Nothobranchius furzeri: one gene and its partner. The protein of the gene in region 2 interacts with the protein of the main gene of each other region in a biochemical or structural test. Links are inferred from orthologs where the notes say so. Each region holds a gene or a part of one and is shown on either strand. Other genes may lie near its edges.

The links. The genes of interacting proteins can lie anywhere in the genome.
Region 1: the proteins of flt4 (region 2) and vegfd form a complex in vitro, tested with the Homo sapiens proteins (2 studies listed by BioGRID). The link is inferred for Nothobranchius furzeri from reciprocal best matches to the Homo sapiens genes FLT4 and VEGFD.

Annotation. Positions count from the first base shown.
Region 1 is NC_091749.1:41,122,863-41,127,401, forward strand, and holds part of vegfd (vascular endothelial growth factor D), read right to left. Parts: intron 3,977-4,539; coding exon 3,772-3,976; intron 3,650-3,771; coding exon 3,529-3,649; intron 1,521-3,528; coding exon 1,451-1,520; intron 1,368-1,450; coding exon 1,240-1,367; intron 1,151-1,239; coding exon 1,035-1,150; intron 917-1,034; coding exon 751-916; intron 242-750; coding exon 223-241; 3' UTR 1-222. UniProt on the Homo sapiens protein: Growth factor active in angiogenesis, lymphangiogenesis and endothelial cell growth, stimulating their proliferation and migration and also has effects on the permeability of blood vessels.
Region 2 is NC_091741.1:101,870,276-101,874,814, reverse strand, and holds part of flt4 (vascular endothelial growth factor receptor 3), read left to right. Parts: intron 1-2,119; coding exon 2,120-2,479; intron 2,480-2,860; coding exon 2,861-3,007; intron 3,008-3,609; coding exon 3,610-3,741; intron 3,742-4,416; coding exon 4,417-4,523; intron 4,524-4,539. UniProt on the Homo sapiens protein: Tyrosine-protein kinase that acts as a cell-surface receptor for VEGFC and VEGFD, and plays an essential role in adult lymphangiogenesis and in the development of the vascular network and the cardiovascular system during embryonic development.

The DNA of each region.
Region 1 (4,539 bases), on a different chromosome or scaffold from region 2:
GTTAGGCTCCTTATTGCCTACATTATTTCACAGCACAAGGTAAGCCTATTACTTTTAAGGAATAAAAAAAAAACATAAATCCTGAAAAGGAAAAACTCCAGACTGAAGTTTTATTACAGTGATCTCCATAAATAGTACTGAAAATAAATTATAGGAAATTATTTTCTCTGTTGCTGTTTTAAGATGAGCAACTTGTCAATAAATTTAATCCCTGGTGAACTTCTACTTGGGTGGTCTGCATCTGTTGAAAAAAGAGGGAGATTTTTTCATGAATGATGAAATCTACATTGACGTAAACACATTAGAGTACAGATCATCACCTCATCACAAATTTGTCAACCTTCTTTTTGAATTAACTCAGGAAGAAACAATGCGTTTGTGTTTTCTTTTGACCTACAGAGAAGCAGGTTTGCTCCTAATGTGATGGACGCTGAAACCCTTAACCCTAACCTAACAGCAGCTCTAAACCCTAGCCCAAAGCCAACAGCAACATTTATCACAAACTTTCCTAAAAAGCGTAAGCTTCTTCAAAAATTAACCAAAACATACGTTACAGCTTGCCACTCCAAGTGAACACATCTTACCGTTTGCATGAAAGGTGTCAGGTGTTAAGAATTAATTTAATGAGCTTTTATGTTTTCAGAGGCAATTAACTCTCATTTATAATGTTCCAGTATAGAGCCTTGGCCTTGATCTAACGACAGATTACATAATCAGAAGAACAAGAGACGATTAGTTCAGTTGACTCACCTGCGTAAGGCTTTATCAAAACGCTGATGCCTGTGGGCACAGATGGAAGAGTTGTGCTGACACCGGTGGACCGGTCTGGGCTGGAGAAGAGGCTCGGGTTTGGGGAGGCAGTCACACCGCTCCACATCTATCTCACAGTCTGGCATCCAGGAACTGAGTGGAAGCACTGTGTGAGACATGGCTTTTAAATGAAAATACTAAAGCAGAGGTTTTTGACTAGAAGCATACTCAATTAACTTAAGAGTTTATTGCGTCGTGATTTGGATATATTTCCATGCACTCACCTGGTCCAGTGGAGGGGTAGGGTATGCATCTCTCAGAGGAACAATCCCAAATCCAGCCAGTGGCACACAGTCTCCTGGAGTCCTCAAACTCTGACAGCTGGCCCATCAGAGAACAGCTATATCAACAAAAAAAAAACGTAAACAGAAATTTTTATTTAAATCTTTTTGAGAAACAGTACTATTAGTAATGATGATTTGGACTCACCCGCTGCTCCGCTGTGGCTGAGCATTACGGCGGATGATTGCAGGCTCCATGCACCTGCACTCAGTGTGGTTGGCTACTTTTATTAACACAGGTTCTGGTACAAACTTGAAGGGAATCACACTTAGGAGCTAAAATGTACAATCACACAGACAGAAAGTTGAGCTTGATTGACGCTGCTGATTAAACCCTCAAAAAAATGGAAGACGCTCACAGTTTTGTTGACATATGCAACAGAAGTGTTCCTGCAGGTTACACCCTCTTGATTGCAGCAGCCGCTGCACCTGCCAGCAGAGCAGGAAGACAAACTCATGTCAGAATAAAGCAATGAGCAAAGACTAGACTGAGACTGTTGAATTTAATTTGGCCTTTGTAAACCTGATGAAGGACCAAAGTTTTATTTTGTATAGGCTTTGCCCTTTAAGGCTGGTTGTGTCAAATATTTCTCAATTAACCAATCACTAAAGAGCTTTTAATATACGCCCTCATACTGGGCAGCCCCAATCCAGTACAAGAGGGGTATAAACCCACCATTGCTCTCCCATTCTCTCTTCACACAACCTTTTTGCTAAGTGTGAATGTTTGCATTGTTAGGTTGCTAACACGTGGCCTGTAAATGGCTTGTATTTGATGTAGTGCCTTCTAGAGGTGCTTTACAACACAGTCAGTCATTCACACACACATTCATACCCTGGTGGTGATGAACTACATTGTAGCCACAGCTGCCCAAGGTATACTGACAGAGGCAAGTCTGCCGTACTCAGGCTTCACCGGTCCCTCCGACCACCAGCAGGCAAGGTGAGTTAAGTGTCTTGCCCAAGGACACAACGACAGCGACAGACTGAGCGGGGCTCGAACTTGCAACCTTCCGATACAGAGCAAGCACGTAACATGTGCCACAGTCGCCCCAAAGGCAATCCACGTGTTATAATTTGGAACAGATTACCGTCCGGACTTTCTCTACGTTACAGTGACCTGCAAGCTTTCGTGCATTGGCACTCAGTCCACCTCATTGATATGCGTTTGCAGTGTTTCACAAATCACTATGATGCATCTGTCTCCTGTTTTTTGCTTCTCTTCCAACATACGGGGTGATTGCACCGGCCAGAGTGGCTTTCTCTGATGTGAGAACTTTTTTCTTCAGTCACCCATCAACCTGATGGCTGTGGAAGCCGTTCGGGTCCCTAGAGGCAGGGGTCCAGCGGATATACGTACGTGTGCTGTCCCTCCGTTCACCTGAGACCAGCTCAGACTCTGCTTCCAGCTTCTCACGCTCTCCTCTTGAGGTGACCCAACCAGTCTCGCCTCCCCACTGTCTTTACCCCACAGCCAGATCATCTGGCAGGAAGGTAAGGGCCACCAACACCCAATATGGCCATGACGCCTACTGCCTAGGTTCAAAATATAGGCAACAGCTGACCTAGTTTCTCTTCCAGCACTCTATTGCCGGGTGAAGGAGGCCTCTGAGCGTTGTTTTTATCACCCATTCCCCCCAGATAGCACATGTAGGTGCGCCCCATTTGGAACATATATGGACAAGCCATATGGTTCCCACCAGGGTTTGTCCACAGTTTCCACAGTGGCCCCACAGGGGTTTGCCCACAAAGAATCTAAACTCTCTAAAAACCCATGCAGGGCCCATTAAAATCTATGTGGGCAAAGAGCTTTCTGGGCAAACTCCTGTGGGGCCACCATGAAATTAAAGAAAATCATGGACAAACCCTGGTGGGACCCATACGCCTTGCCCATAAATGTTCCATATGTAGTGGGCTCCTTCCGAACCTGATGGGGTTTTGGTGCTGGTGCTGCAGGTCAGCAATAACCTGCCCCGACCCTGTGATTGACGGCACTTTTTACAACAGCCTCTTGCTTCGTGTTCTGTCTTGCCCCTCCCCATTCTGTAGGATGGTGGAGAAGTAACTAACATCGTCGGAACAGTGTTCCACCCTTGAGCTAGAACTGCGGGACCTCTTGTCTAGGAGGTCATATCCGGAGTCCCCTGGATGAGGAGAGTTCGGATTGTATTATTGTCATTTCTAGTTCTGAAATAAACAAGAGAAATGTGACCTGTTCTCGACCTGTGTCTATTCAACTGTTCCATCATGATGAAACACTTCTGCATGCTCGAAGAAACAGGTTTTGGATTACGTGCACTAGGAGGTCTGGTTCACCTTCATAAACCTGAAGAATGCCCAGTAGGCACATATTAAAGCTCTCAGTGACTGGGTAATCAGGATATCTGGGGTTACAATACAGATGATCATTCTGAATGCGTGTTTAATCCAAACAAACCTGTGGACAGACACACAGGGAGGCTTGAAAAAGATGGTGGGGTCAGTGCCCAGCTCCTTGGCTACATCAACACAGGTCTCCCTGGGCATACACTGAGTACGCTGCCACTCTTCATCTATGGCTGAACACACACACACATGCACGCACACACAAATGCACACAAACATACAGACACACACGAACATTAAACCCTGCAATTTATGAAGTTGCACATAATGTACTACATCATATCTTTCATCCAACCTTTAAGTATCTCCAGGTTGTATGATTCTGCAGCGTAGCGAGTGGAGCGGTGTGACCCCACTGAAGTAGGAAAGGAGAACGTTTCTGGCTGTTGCATCCTCAGACGACACTTCCATAACTTCCAGTCTGGAAAGTCTGTGAGTCTCAGCAACTCATCCAAGTTCGACGCTGACCGCACCTCTTTTTCCCACTGCCTCATCACCTGCTGAGATTTAAAAGCAAAAACACAGATCAGAAGGTTTCATGGTGACATCATATTTGGATCATATGGATCGCTACTGGAAGACAAGATGAACGGTTCTCTACAAGGACTTGGCTCTCAGTGTTCATGTTGAAAACCCATTCAAACAATTTGATTTGTTTGTGAGCGTCACATCACTAAGATGCTCTGAAAGAAGCAGTTCTACAGTGGCACAATTAGACCTAAACCAGACAACTTGCATCACTGTTTGTGTGACATAATAGCAGCATTATTCAATTCAGTGATGGCTCTTGTATATAAGTTGTTCAACAGTCTGGTGGTGTGACTTTTAAAGTGGTGGTAGAATGCAGCTTATTTACAATTGGAAACGGTGCCATGATCCTCTCTAAATGTCTTAGGAAACTTTGTTGGGGCTCACAATGACCCAGGAGCCCTGAAGAATGTAAGTAAGTAAAAACAGTAAGTAAAAGTTTATTTATATAGCGCCTTTCACAGATATAAATCACAAAGCGCTGAATGGCCAAAGTCAAACCCATGATCTAGCCCCAATTAAAAAAAAAACCCTG
Region 2 (4,539 bases):
GAAAACATCCGAAAATATAAATGTTTATTCACCCGTGACTGAAGAAGTACAAAGATGCGGAACAAGCATTTTATTCGTAGGCTGAAATGACAAGGAACGTGGGTTTAGAGGTACCAATCGCCTGAAGAGATGGAGGACAATGAGGGATAAATGTGTCCATGGTTAAAGTCTCCGAAATACATTGAAACAATATAAACACTATACAAAATCTTAGACCAGATACGTGCCAGTAATGGTGACAGGTTACCCAAAAAAAGCACTACATCCTTTGTTGTCCTGGCGGGGAATTGCTTTGCAACAATCCACATGTGATGTAGAAGTCTGAAGGAAAAGCCTCTCTGTGAATCTGTTTGCGCGACTCACACTCGAGCTGATGGAGGAGCAGAAATCAGGCTTCAGTCTTGTCTTCATTCAGCTGTAGAAAGCTCCCAGCCATCCAGGTTTTAATAGTCTAAACAGGAGAGTAACAGCTGCAGCTTAGACATCTCATGGGGCTTAAAGGAGATGTAGAGTTGGATGTCATCTGCATAAAGATGGTAGGAGATTCCTTTAGAGGAGCTCAAGATGTGCTGAAGAGGAAGCAGATAGAGGAGGAAGAGCAGAGGCCCCAGCACAGAACCTTGTGGGACACCATGGGTAAGAGAGGTGGTGGAGGACCTAAACTTGGAGATGGCCACAGAAACGGAGCGCTCAGACAGACAACAGGAGAACCACTCCAGAGCAGATCCTGACAGGTGTACCCAGTCCCTCAGCCTAGTAGCAGGTGATGGTCAACAGTGTCAAAGGCTGCAACCATCCACTACAATGTCTGGTGGTGTAGGTTTCCTCCAGATGGATTAAGACACAGCTTCCAGAAAGTTCTGCTTTTTGTTGTCTTTTAGCACAAGTCATGACCCTTGACTTCAACCACCTGCAGTACTTTAGATGTTGTTCTGTGTTTTCTTTAGAGCCAGGATGTGTTGCTTTTTAGGTCCTACAGTGATCAGTTTGGTTAGCTTTGTAACAACAGTTTATGAAATAGTAATTTTAGAAAATGCATTTTGTATTTGCTCAGGTTATCTATGTCAGATGTCAAACATTATTGTCTGACTGTGATTTCTGACCCAAACCCCCAATGAGGAAATCTTTGAGGGGCCGATTATTCACAACACTCCTGGTTGCTGTAGAAAGTCAGATTCAAGTTAGGAAGGCTCACTACATTTTACAAACTGTAAATTAGCATTTTGATGCGCACCAACAATTGCATAATATGTATAGATTTCCCATTTTAATCAGTAATAACAATAAAATATGATGATCCTCCTGGTGTTTGCTTGACATTTGTGTTAAAAACATTTAGCCACTCCTCAACAGAGCTTGAATTTATTATGATAAAATAAAACATTTTTAAAATCATCACAAACAGTTGGAGCTTGTCTTAGTTCCTATGGCCTTTATGTGTATGGCACCAAAGTTTATTCCCTGTAGCACTTTAATGCCAAAGAAATTACTGTAATAAAACTTCACCAGGTTGAGAATGGCCTTCAGCATGTCCAACTGAGCGGCACAGGCAAGACTTTATTGGGATGCTCAAAACGAAGACCGTTCCTATCGACATTCCTGGGTTGGACTCCTCTGGATTTAAGTGAAAGCGTTCCCTATATATTTTTTTTGTTGTAATTGGAGGAATTGATTTATTTATTATAAATCTAAATATATTATTTAGGGCAGCAGTAGCTCAGGTGGTAGAGCGGGTTGCCTCATGATCAGAGGGTCATGGGTTCGATTCCAGCTCCCGCCAGGGGTATCCTGCTGTTGTGTCCTTGGGCAAGACACTTCACCCAACTTGCCTGTGTTAGTGGTGGTCAGAGGGGCCGACGGCGCCAAATGGCAGCCTCGCCTCTGTCAGACCTCCCCAGGGCGGCTGTGGCTACAAGTAGCTTACCATCACTAGCAGTGGGTGAATGTGAGAGTGTGTGAAAGCGTCTTTGGGTGTCTAGAAAAGTGCTATATAAGTTCAATGCATTATTAATATTATTATTATTATTATTATTATTATTATTATATAAAGAGTGCTTTTCATCATTTTACATCATAAAGCCTCATCTTGACCCCTCACTGCCCCCTTTCATCTTTGAAGCCATCCCTGAAGGCTTCAGTGTAGATGTCCATCCCTCTGAGACCCCCCTGGAGCAGGAGAACATGTCTCTGCGCTGCAGTGCTGACAACTACACCTACGATCAGCTGCAGTGGTACCGTCTCAACCCCCAGGCTCTGCAGGACCAGCAGGGTAGGCTTCCGGAGCTGGACTGCAGCAGCATGCACCGGTACGCTAAACCCCTTCAGGGCGAGCTCTTCTTCCAGAAAAACTCCAACAGCTGGGTGTCAGACTTCACGGTCGAGTCCGTGCGGCTGCCGGATGAGGGGCATTATGTGTGCACGGCTCAGAGCAGGCGCAGTGGCGAGAAGCAGTGTCTGTTCAGATACATCTCTGTCAAAGGTGAGAGGAAGGAGGAATAAATACAAGCATCAAACACACAGATTCACATCCTGTAAATGTTCAGCCCAAACACAGCTAATTATAGAGCAGAACTCTGTGGAGGAAACACACACACACGCACACACACACACACACACACACACACACACACACACACACACACACACACACACACACACACCGAGGCACTAACACATTTTTGGAATTCATTCATGTTCTCTGCTCTGGATCACCTTGCATCACTCCCCCTAGGACAGATGTACATTTTAATAGGATTTTGTAGATTATTTTTCACGTATTATTTACTTTTGCTTTTTCAATCGTACAAGACTACAGGCCCATGGCTCTGACGATGACCGATGCTATTGATTTATTTTCTAGCCCTGGAGGCGCCGCGGTACAAGCACAGCCTCACCAACCAGACGGTGAACATTACCGAGTCTCTGAGGATGGAGTGTGATGCAGACGGCCGACCTCTGCCCCATCTCTCCTGGTTCAAAGACAACCAGCCCCTCCACCAAATGTCAGGTGGGAAAAACACACCTACACACTCGTTAACACAACTGGGCCCACCTTCTGTATCAACCACCCACCCACCCACACACACACACACACACACTGGCTGGAAGTCAGAATCATATCCTAGTTGAAAACTGGTGGATTGTTTGTTTAAATATTGAAATTAATATGATTCATGATTTGGTAGCACGTGGAGTGTGTGTGAGTAAATGTCCAGTGAATGGCTGATATTAAAATTCAGCCTGACTGTCATTACTCGGAATGTGTGTATGTGTCTGTCTGTGTGTGTGTGTGTTTGTGTGGAGTGGGGGGTGGGGGTGGGATTCTGCATTTAGCCTGTCTGATGAGGTGCACACCTCAAGCGCACGTTGGAGACAGGGAGCATTGCCGACCAGCGCTCATTTCTATTCTCTGTGCTATTCCTCTTGAGGTTCTGTGGGTTTGATTGACAGCCGATGCTCTGGGTTTAGTCAGACATGAAGCCTGACGTGTAGAGTGATAGAATAATAGATATCTGGAGTTGTGACTCGATCCCCCCCCTTCCCCCCTCCCCCCAAAAAGTGCTGTTTAATAACGTTGAGGAGTCATGGAGTCATGCATTAATCATGCAGGGGTCCAGCTGCAGGATTCAAACCGCACCTTGAGCATCCAGCGGGTCAGAGAGGAGGATGCTGGACTTTACACCTGCACCGCCTGCAACCAGCGAGGCTGTGTCCAGTCTTCAGCTGCTGTCAGGGTCATCGGTGAGACAGCAACACACGCACGCACACATGCGCACACACAAACACACACACACACATGCAAACACAAACACATAAGCATGCACACACACAAAGACACACACACACACACACACACATAGTTCATGCCCTCTTTACCCTTGAAAAGTGCTCGTCGTTACTCTACTGCCGCTGACGGCCGTGTGCTTGTGCTCTCTGCTCTCCAAATCAAACCCATTGACTTGTTGGACGTTTTGTGTTCAGAATGAATCATTAAGAGGAATGACTGGAAGTGGTTTCCACAGAAGACCCAAACACCTTAAAAGTCTGCTCAGCAAACTGATTCCAGCTGGGCGACTCCAGTCCTCGAGGGCCAGTATCCTGCATCTTTTTGTTACTTCCCAGTTCCAACACAGTTGATTCAGCAGCTCATCAAGCTCTGCAGAAGCCAGCTAATCTCCTGCTGATTGAAATCAGGTGTGTTGAAACAAGGAAAACAGTAAATCATGTGGGATAGTGGCCCTCGAGGACCAGGATTGCCCGCCCAAAGGTTACTGGAAAGGAGCTGGGGTCAATGTTTTGTAAGGCAGTGCCCCCTGTAGACGCCTTGGGGTATAAGCTGTGTCAGGGTGGGGTGTTGTGTTTTAGTGGTAAAACCATTTATACCCACATGTTGTTTTTTCTGATCTCTGCGATCAGGTTCGAGTGACAAGGCCAACGTGGAGATCGTGATTTTAGTCGGGACCGGTGTCATCGCAGTTTTCTTCTGGGCTTTGCTCATCCTCATCTTCTGCAACGTGAAACGGGTCAGAGAGCACACAC